3 linked regions of the Schizosaccharomyces pombe genome follow. The gene in region 3 interacts genetically with the main gene of each other region. Each region holds a gene or a part of one and is shown on either strand. Other genes may lie near its edges.

Evidence for each region.
Region 1: mutations in pas1 (region 3) and puc1 are lethal when combined (synthetic lethality), as found in Schizosaccharomyces pombe (one study listed by BioGRID).
Region 2: mutations in pas1 (region 3) and cig1 are lethal when combined (synthetic lethality), as found in Schizosaccharomyces pombe (one study listed by BioGRID).

Annotation. Positions count from the first base shown.
Region 1 is NC_003423.3:3,699,941-3,703,699, reverse strand, and holds the start of puc1 (G1 cyclin Puc1), read left to right. Parts: upstream 1-2,010; 5' UTR 2,011-3,047; coding exon 3,048-3,759.
Region 2 is NC_003421.2:1,225,485-1,229,243, reverse strand, and holds the start of cig1 (G1/S-specific B-type cyclin Cig1), read right to left. Parts: upstream 2,019-3,759; 5' UTR 1,700-2,018; coding exon 452-1,699; 3' UTR 1-451. Other genes in the region: meiotic cohesin complex STAG protein Rec11, read left to right, coding at 2,319-2,583, 2,650-2,762, 2,848-2,946, 2,996-3,345, 3,390-3,534, 3,592-3,759. UniProt on the Schizosaccharomyces pombe protein: Required for efficient passage of the G1/S transition.
Region 3 is NC_003424.3:1,359,079-1,362,837, forward strand, and holds the start of pas1 (cyclin Pas1), read left to right. Parts: upstream 1-2,054; 5' UTR 2,055-3,492; coding exon 3,493-3,759.

The sequences.
Region 1 (3,759 bases), on a different chromosome or scaffold from region 3:
AAAAAACGAAGAGGTTTTAATATGTCATTTTACGTAAAAAAAATGTCTGGAATAGGGTGGTATTATTATGATTTTGTACAAAAAGGTCTTTTATTATAGGAGTTTATTTTATTTTTATTTTTTCCGATAAAAAGCATAGATTAGTTGCTAGTTAGTTTATCAATAAAACATTTCAAGGTGACACACCCATCCACAATATGATTATGGCAATGTAGCTGTGAATTTCCAAAGTCTGAGTTGTTTATTCCCATTATCGATTGGAGCATTATGCCTGTAATATGGTTTCACTTGATTCTAGGCAGATAGGCGTACAATTTTACGAACCCAAATTTTTTGATTAATAGACTTAACACGGCGAACTAAAATTTAACCGAACGCTATTTTTGTTACACCACATAATTAGAAAATTACTCGCATGAGGATAATTAAAAATACTCTGGTAAAATTAAAATTATTGTAGAAGACAGCTTGTATTTAAAGAGTAGCAATTACCATCTACAACTTATAAAGAAAACATATTCAAAGTAACAGAATCTTACAAAGGATATATATGCAAATGAAACGAAGAAAGCTCATACATGAACCCGTCTACGTTTCTAAACTTGATTACATTTGATATATTCAAAATAAAATAAAGAAGTGAAATAAGTGATTGACGTAAAAAATTATTTTCTTGCCGATGAGATTATACATTCGTTTGTTTATTGAAATTTGTTCACAACTTAGATAAATCTGTTTAGTAGTACCAGTTTTATGTACCCCCATTTAGTTACTACGATCCCACTTAAAATGTAATACAAACTGTCAGTACTAACCAGAAGAAGGACAATAGTACTAACGACTTAGACCCCCCACTTTGGTACAAAAACACCACCTGAATCAACAGCATGTAAAGTAGAAGTCATAGATTAGAAGCATGAGAACATTTCGTAGTGAAAATAAAACATTGCGTTGAGAAGCAATCTCGTTCAACTACCAAACATTTTTTTCCATTGAATAGAATAATGTTATGACCTTTAAGCCAAGCAATGCGTTTTTCAACGTTTTGGTTCTGTTATTTTCTATCCTACTTTTATCCGCACCACCAGGTGGAATTATCTGTGAAACTAGACGGCTCATAAATATCGTTATGTCACTGATTGCGAATCTATTTATCCATGCTAGTTATTCATGTTCATTCCCCACATTCTCCTCAAAAATTAATTATTTCATCGGAAATTAACTGACTTAAGTCTTGACTATTATTTACAATTTGTTTAATCCATATACTAAGTGATAAACATTTACACACAGTAATTGGGCTGCTTATTTCCTTCTGCTATGTAAAATAAAGATTGCGGTATATGCTATTGTGAAGAAAATCGATATTATTAATGTTAATCTATCTAGCTGTAGTTATAGCTGGATTGCACCAGCCATTTTGTTAATAACGTGATTTTCATAAAAAAAAAGCTGTAGATGATCGAACGGGTCAATATTTACATTCTTGAATAATTGATTTACCTCTGCTTCTTGTCCCCACTTTTTCTTACTTGCGTGCGCAATGTTAGCAGTACGTACATTTCACGATTTGGCCAATATGATTTACAGCAAGTAACTTATCAATTAACCGCTTTTGAAAATCAAAATTTTGTACTAGTTTCTTTGTTCAAGTTCTTTGATAGATGGCGTGCTATGAATGGAATAGTTTTGGGCTACGTCGTCACTTACATGATGTGCTTGACCCATTGAATTAATTGTGTGTTAGTACTTTACGCTTTCAGTACACATCGTTGGTATGGTAAATTTGTGAATCGGCCATACCAAGATGGAGATCACTTGAGGCTTAATTAATTCAAATCCGAAAATTCCGGTTGTTGTTACTAACAGTAGCTAGTTACGTTGCAGAAATTACGAGTTAGAATGGACATTGTACATTCACAATGTAAGGATACCGATTCGCGATATTGTCACTACACTATAAGATTTATCCTTATAAAGATATCGATTGCCCACCGTTTATAACCTTCCATAATTTATCTCTTTACCAGTTCCGCCTTGTTTTTTGTTACATTCTCTTTTCTTACCACACCATAATTGCTTTTGGTATACAAGCGACAACTTTATTTATTGCTTGGTACGAATCGTTCACAAATTCGATCTCTTAGTCGTATCCGTTTATCATTTTTTATAAAATAGTAGCTGACGGAACTGAATTGTTTTCTTTAAAAGAGTCTGTACCACTTACTTTTCTCCAGCTTTTGGTGTTCTTTTATAATTTCTGTCCTATCAAGGTTGCGGTAAATTAAATTGACTGCACTGTAAATGAATTCGAAAGTTTGAACAGCGTAACCAAATTTTGTTTTTCTTTTGCAATACATCGTTTGGTTTAATTGAAATTTATTTCCTTATTTTTGCTGCATATGGACATATTTTACTAAATATCTTTCTCTTCCTTTTATTTTTTTTTATTTTTTTTTTCTTTTTGGAATTAACCTTGTGTTTCTTTGTAATATTTTCATTAGTATGAATGCATTGTCTGCTTCTGAAATCCGTTAATCAAACTAAATAACTATTCACCGAACCTTTTTGGAAACATATATTTATCGCATCTAATTTCTTCCGCTTCATTTTGCATTCTTTTAATATTTATATAGCCTTTTTTCACTATATATTATTGGGTTCTTTCGTCTTGGCTTTTTACAAGTCCTTTGCAATTTACTCTTTCGATTCCTTTATATTACCCCTTCCATTATTGATATCTCTTTAGCGTCCTTGAAAACCCAGTAATTTTTCCCTTTTTTTTAATCGTCACCTCACTCTTTTTTTTTCTTCCTTTTTAAATCGTCCCTTAATTTTCCGCCGTTGTATCGCTTTCAGTTAGTTAAACACTATTCGCTTTGACCACTACCTCTTAACAAGCAATCTGAGCCTGTTTATGTCCAATTATTTTTTCTTCAGTATCATTTTTTTAATAATTCACTGAACTTTGAGCTGCAACTTCATCGACTGTGAAGAGCTTTTCTACTCTTTCCTTCTCATTATTTTCAAATACCTGTCTACCCAGTATGTTAGTTTCTTCCAATGAGGAACAACTTACTGCTCATACTCCCACTTCATCTTCAAGTATAGAACCTAAAATATTAGCTGCCTGTTCATATTCTCTATCAGTGGGCCCTTGCTCTTTAGCTGTTTCACCAAAAGGCGTTAATTCCAAATCTCCCTCTCTTAAAAATGAGACTGCATTTGTTGTCGACTCTGTTAGCACATTGTCAGCGGAATCTAGCGCCTTACTTTATAACACTCAATCCTCTTTACTCACTGGTTTATCAATGAACGGGTATTTAGGTGAGTACCAGGAAGACATTATCCATCATCTGATTACTAGAGAGAAAAATTTTTTGCTGAATGTCCATCTTTCTAATCAGCAACCGGAACTCAGATGGTCAATGCGACCTGCACTCGTTAATTTTATTGTAGAAATACATAATGGATTCGACTTGTCTATTGATACTCTTCCGCTTAGTATTTCCCTCATGGATTCATATGTCTCGAGGAGAGTGGTATACTGCAAACACATTCAGTTAGTAGCATGTGTTTGTCTTTGGATTGCCAGTAAATTTCATGAAACAGAAGACCGTGTTCCATTATTGCAAGAACTGAAGTTAGCTTGTAAAAACATCTATGCTGAGGATTTATTTATTCGTATGGAACGCCACATACTTGATACTCTTGATTGGGATATCTCAATCCCTACACCAGCTTCGTATATTCCTGTTT
Region 2 (3,759 bases), on a different chromosome or scaffold from region 3:
GTAGCAACAATTAGTCCAATTAACCCGTCGATCATGCCCAAAGGTCGGATGAGACGATTGTGTAAAGGTAGGACAAAATTAAATTAAAAAGGTATTAATCCAAAAAAATAAAAATGGTTTAAGGGGTATCAAAAAATAATTACAATAGAGATACCCGTAACGTTATTTAAGTATAGTAAAAGATATAGAAAACAAGATGGAAGAGGGAATTCGGAAAGATAGTTATAAAATAGACAGTAGTTCCAAGTCTCTGGGGGATAATAGGGGTGGTTTAAACGACAAACTTAGCAAACGGAGTGGAGAAAAACTACTACCTTAGGTAAGATATAAAATGCCCTCGAGTGATTGCTGTAGGAAATATTAAGACAATGATCCGTAATAATAAATATCGTAGGCTTAATAATAGCAAACTAACTCAGAATATCATTGTTAACAACTTCTGAAAGCAAACTCAAATCACACTTAGTACCCAGTTGTGAGCAAAGGCGCTAACTCGCTTCATTCTATTCTCCGAGTACTTTCGGTAAATGGCATTGTGATGGTTAGGGGCATCGACCAAACATTCCATAATGATTATGGCACACGGTTTCAATTGACGAGCCGTGTACCCACTATAATATACATGGCAAGGAGTCCAATCCAAATGACCCAACATCTGCATAGACAAGTAGTAGGCAGTAGCAGCAATGAAGCTAATATGGGCACCTATAAAAATTTCATCCATCAAGGTTACTTCTTGAAGATATTTGGCGAGCATGCGAATGTCGTGATCGTAAGAATCAGCTCGACTTATACGACGCAAAAACGACATGGGCCCTGGCCAACTAATGTCAAAATCCAAAAGCATCAGCATATAGCGCTCGGCTCTAATGATTTCGTCAACGGTGAAGATCCCTTGGACAACATGCGCAAAGTTGTAGATGCTTGGAGGGTGTATCTCTTCATACTTACAGGCAATCAGCAAAGCTGATAAACCTACCAACTGGACTTTTTGCAAAGATACGACTTTTATGGAAAGAAACCGGTCGATAAGGTTTACCGCCAAAAATAATGTCTCAGGAAGTAAACGAAAATGTATTTGAACTTGCACAATCCAATCAACAAGCATATGTCTTGTAACCCAGTCAATCTCTTGCTGAACTGACATGTAATTAGGAGGTGGAGCCAGCTTCCTTTCCAAAGATTGCATGTAGTGAAATATCTCAGGATCATAGTCTGGTACCATGGATGGATCAGTTTCTATATCCTCAGGCGATGGGTTAGCTTGTAATCGAGCAGCAGCTTCAGACAGGGCGGCTAAATCTTCCTTGGTCCACTCGGGAATTGTTGGTAGTCTATGCTTCCCGTGTGTAAGAATTCCTTCAGGTGCGTCAAAGCTGCCCTCACGGTTTTCCAAATCATCATCTCCAATAGACTTAGGAGTGGAGCGAATTGACCGTTCCTCTATCTCGACTTTGTCCTGGTATGCAAAATCCTCTTCAAAAGTGTCGCCAGTGGACGAAGAGATGGAGGATTCATTATTCCCTTCAATCAATGTTGGTTCATCTTGTTGATTGATGTTATCTACTGCCTTGAAAGGTGCACGAACACCCGTATTTAACTTGATGTGACTTTTCTTCTTCACATAAATGTGATCCTTTTGTAGCTGATTCTCATCTTGAAAATATGTTGCGTGTCTTGTTTGAGTCGAAACGTCCATTAGTAAACCAGCACACACTTGTTTAGAAAGTTTTGGACATGCGATGAAAGTCGGTTTTCAAACTGCCTTTTACTCAGGTAGGAACCCTAGTCTTCTCTTTGGAAAAGATCCTTAAAAATTTAGATGCTTTTCGACTTCTAAAAATTCGAAAAAATGACTCTACACCCAAATATATGAAGATACTATTGAACGAAGGATTCGAGGAAAGTAATCTTTTGGATTGACCAGAAAGATTAGTACTACAACAGTACAAGAACTAAAAATCTCAAATGAAACCAACGAACAAGAGTATTAACCAAAAGTTGGAGTAGGACTTTGCAAAGGAATACCGAGCTACTACTAATGAGAAAAAGGAGTTGGTGGGTTCTCAAAAGGGGTCAGGGAAAAGCCCGAAATTCCGAGTAAAAACGCGTTCTTATTCATAAATTAGTTACTTTATGTTTCAAAAGTAAAACTTTAATAAATTATTATATACTTGATTGCAATGGTTGTATGTGAACTGCAAAATAATTAATGACTGACTGACGCGACTCGTGTCACGTAAACAAACCCATCGTTTCTGTTAGATTAATCTTTGCCATAACCAACCACCATCGTACCAATTAATTGAGTGATTTCAATGAGATTCGAATTTGAATCAGATGCAAGCAGTCATCTCAATGAAGTCCTTACTGAATTAGAAAGCGTGGAGCTTGAAAATGTTGAATATGAAGGTCCAAGTTTACAGAATGTCAGCATTTGTGCCTCGCCCTCAGAAAAAAAGCGGAAATGGGGAACACAAGATGAATTTTCTTTGACGGAGAATGAAGAAAATAATGAAATAGAGACGAATGAAGAGATGCACGTAAATTCTCATGATTATGCCTTTCCACAAGAATTTTTTCGTAAGTTTGCTTGCTTATAAGAGAAAAAAAGTCTTCGATAATATATTCTAACAAGCATACGAAAAGTCAAACTGTTGGATATAGATATGCCGCTCGAGCAACTTTCTCAACATTATTTTGAAGACTATAAAAGTAATAGCGCTGACTTCATGCTGACCTTTATAAATTTCGCATTAGTTGTAAGTTTAGCAGGAATGATCCGCGACGTTTTCTAGCTTTTGCTGTTTTGTTTACTCTTCCTTTGAAACGTAAACTAATTCATAGGCCTCTGGTTGTCAACCCTTCGTTACGAACTTTGATGTACAGGACGTAGATTCAATTCCTGAAACATTGTCTCAGGTCAATCGTTCAAGTTTTCAAAAGGTGTGTGCATCATCTTTTTGTAATATTTACTTACCATACATATCGCTAGTCTTCTTGCGCTTATACTGATTATCTTTATACTTCTAACTCTAAAGAAGCTAAAACGGTGCGTATTCGTTTTCAGCTTTTTTTGGTCGAATTCATCAGTAAAGTTTACGTGGAAGACGCATTCCTCGGAGACTCATTCATGGAAACTACAAAAGCTTGGATTTTTACCATGACGACAAGTCCTTGGATGCTTGTTAGACATACTGCAACAACTATTTGCTGTGATATCATGCGATGCTTATGCCTTATAGTAAACAAACTTTCCGAAAAATCAAATCAAACTGCGGAAATTCTGGTACTGAGAGACTTAACATCTAGGTTCATTGACATGATTCACGACATTTGTGATAGGTTGGCAATACTACTTTTCTTAACGACTCTAACCTTTTTACTAGTGTACTATTCTCAAGGATTCATGATATACGTGCAAGCATTCGTATAGTGTGTGTTACTGCTCTATATGATTGTTGCCAATTGCTTCCCACCTATCTTATAAACAGAAATTTGATTAGACATTCTGGCTGGGGGTTATCTGATGCAGTAAGTGTATAAACAATCGCTACTGCTGTATCATTTAAATACTAACTGAACGTATAGGAATCACAAATCCGAAAAATCTCCTTAAAAATAATAGATTATCTTTCTTCTCATGAACCTGAAAAAGATCAAGATTTTGTGGTTGATTTTCTTGACAGATTCTCGTTAAGAATTGTGGAGATATGTCGGTACGATATTGATTCTGTTCGATCTGTTGCCCTCAAGACA
Region 3 (3,759 bases):
GTGCTTATGCGCTGGTCGGTAAAACAGTTTTCCTTGGACTGATAACAAGAGGGATGGATAAATAAACACGCTCGCTGATAACTTGTAAAAAATAATCAAAATAAGAGTAAATAAAAATGATAAAATAAAAAACAACGATAACAAGGGACGAGTGGGTGAAAGGAAATTTTATGTTTGCGTTTTCGTTGAACCAGCGCAGTACAGAAATACAGAAAGAATTGGGAAGTACAATAACAGCTGGGATGTGGGATGTGGGATTTAATGGTAGGCAGGATAGGGTAAGCAATGCTGGGACAAAGAGAAAGAGGTGAGGGGGGTGAAAAAGTTTTGTGAAAGAAAGGATTGTTTATGCTACGGTTGGAGAAGAGAGGCGAGGGGAAGTGAGGATGGCTTGGATGTAGTAAGGATAATAGGAAATTAGAAATAAAAAAAAAAAAAAATTTGGATATGATACATAAATGGTAAAAAATAAATAATAAATTAATAATCATAAATTAAAGAAAGAAAAAAAAAAGTAAAGAAAGCAACGGTGAAAGTAGTTGAGGAAACTCAAAGAAAACAAAATAAACCATAAGAAGAGGAAAAGTGTTCAATCGTAATAAGAAAAAAAGAAATCAAAATATATTTAATGAAATTATAATAGCAATAAAATAAAGATTATACTAAATTCATGAATGATAATAAATAATAAACAGAAAAATTTAAAGGGCAAAAAAGTAAATTATAAAAATTAAATTAATTATAAGGTAAAATAATTTAAAAATTTTAAAGTACAATAATAAAAATTCGAAATATTTGTTTATTCAATAAACTAATGGAGAGATTTTCCATATTCAAAGTTTTGTTTCATTACTAATTTATAAAATGATACTTTTACTTTTGATTTATTTTATAAATTTTATTTTTTGCTTTTGATTTAATGTATTAATTTTATTTTACTTTTATTTTTTCACTCTTCAAATTCTTAACCATTCGCGTCTTTTCATCGCATCGCCCATCATATTTCCTGCCCAACAACTGTATTCATCAATAATATCGCTACTTTCATCCTACATCTTTGCCTTCGCAAGTTGCGCAAGCTTGCTCGCCATTTCGAGTGCTGATGGAATCAGCGATATCGATGGAGTTAGCGATGCCATCACAGAAATTGCAATTTTACACATCACAAAGTAAAACAATTAGCAATTCTTTCAAAATATCCATCCACTCCGCTTAAAGAAATCATTTCATCTTCATACCACCCCATTATCCCACCTTCTCTGATGGATAGTGGAATCCGCCTTGAATGTCTCTCTCTCTTACTATTACTTGCTTGGCATCTGAGCTGAGCCAATCCAATGTCGCTTAAAGCAGCCCAAAACTTGGGTAACATAGCGAAGAAACGCAAAGAAAAAAAAATTTCTTATGAGGAATCAGAATCTATCGGAGCCATGAATCATGGACACCACTTTCATATTTTTGGAACAAAGCAAGAAAACCTCTAGAATAGATTGGAAGCAAATTGATCCAACTACCACATGTCCTTCATATCCCCCCCCAAACATCATTCATCTATCCCTATGAGCCTCCTTCCTCAAATCCTTTTCCGCATTGCCTTCCCCTTCGCTATACCTAGACATTACAGAATTTATCCATCCCAATCTTCCGCCCCCTCCCAATTTTCAACTGCTAAACCTTGCTCTGATCCAATTTTTCCATTGTTGAGGCCTTTCTGGATGCAGCTTTCCAAACCTTTCAACGTCCCGGCTTGACTTAACTTCCACGTCTTATCATTCACAAAATCGGCAGTCCAAGACGCCAACTTTACCGACGCGTTTTACCCCATTGAAATTATGGATGTTTGCTTTACGCAGTGGTGTGAAATCACGGTGGACTAACGTTTGATGTGCAAAGGATCTCGTTGTTGCAGATAGTGTTACCTGCCACTCTCGGTAACAAATGTGGTTGACAAGCCGCGACTGATGTTTATCTCATATAATCATAGATCTGCCACAATCACCTTTTTTTTCCATTCTTTGCATATATAACATCAGTCATCTCTCCTAAGAAGAGCCGGTCGTCCCTCTGCTAAGCAACCATACAAAACATAACGTTCATCCTTTCTTTTTTGTTACATTCGTCTTCCTTTCTTCAGCCTAGATAGAATTGGTTTGGTGTTTGTGCTATTCTCAATTTTCCTCGTTTTGGATTGTGTTTTTCTTGTTTTGTTTGGGAATCATCATTCATCCATTAACATCTTCTTTACTTTTTTTTTTCATCGTTCATCGAATCCTACTTCCTCTTGACACATAATTAGTCTGCTGGTTTCTTTCTTCCTTCCTTTAAACATTTTGTGAAGAATCTCGTAACCTACCATTCGGTGCTGCTGTATTATAAATCTAATCTATTTGATTCGCTACGGATCTTTCTCACCTTAGACCTTTACTACCTGAAGGGTTCTTTTCTTCTTCTTTAATTCTTTGTCACGATATATTATAACTTTTCATTTTCTTTTTATTTTATTTTATTCTATTTGCTTGTCTGGGTTTAGGTGCTTTGTGTTCTCTTTCTTCTATTCTTTTTTTCATTGTTCCAACTACTCTGCTGACTGCAATATCACGCCTCTTTGAATTCTCGGGAAAAGGCTTATCTACTTTTCCTTTGTTTCATTCGTCTGCTGTCGCCCTGTAGCTTTAACGTTTTCTAACTCCGTCGCTGGTTTCGTCGATTAACTTTGGGTTTCGCATACGGTTTCGTGTAATTTCAAACATTTATTTATTATTTATTTATCTATCTGTCGGTCTGTTTTCTTTGCTTATTTTCCGCATTCATCTTAGCTTATATTTCAATCGTTGAATCCCATCCCTTGCTTCATTCGTTTTTCTCTTCTGCCAACAAATTCTTCTAGAGATTGCATCTTTTATCGTCGTTAAGGAGATTGGTTAAGTAGTTTCCCTCTCATTTTTTCAATCTCTCCTTTCTAGCTTATTTTGGGTTTTTACACAGTTCAAGTTTTCCTTTTATCTGCCTGGTCCCCAAAATCTCGGTTTTGCTTTATTTTCTTTCTTCAAATTCGACTTTGTGCGCTTGAAGATTCGATTTCAAGCAATCATTATTATTTCTTACACTCTTTCTTTGGATGACTATTTTCGCCAACACATCTATCTCTTCATTTTTGCAACTTTTTAGGCTTACTAAGCTTCTTTTTCTTGTATAATAATATTAACTGATTTTGGGTACGTGTCTTCAACATGGCATACCTTTAGAGATTTCTGTTTTTTTCCAGTTAGGAGCACTGTTTAGTCAATCTACTCGTTCTCCTCATTGTGTTCGTCTTCCAATTTTTGTCATCCATTTTTACTTTTCTACTAAATTTTCGTCGAAAGCTTTCATTGTTAGCTTTTTTCCCTTTCATAAACTCGTATTTTCTTCTCTTTGAGAAAAAGCTTGCTAAAAGTTTTCATTTTTCTCCAACAGCTGCTTAAAATTTCATCTTAGATATTTCTCTACACGATGTCGAAAGTTAACATGCGAGCTTTGCTCGAGTCCTTTAGTACCGTGATTCTTTCTATCTACCCCTTGGCTAAAAGTACAAATCAACAATCACATTCGCACTCCCTTTCACTTACTCAGTTTTTGTATGAAACGATTCGCAGAAGTCGTGTCGATTACACTACGTTGCTTCTTGCTTTATATTACTTCATCCGTTTTCGTGATGCTGCTTCTTCTAAGCCTACTAACTACATTCCTCTGTTATGTGGGCGTCGTCTTTTCTTAGTC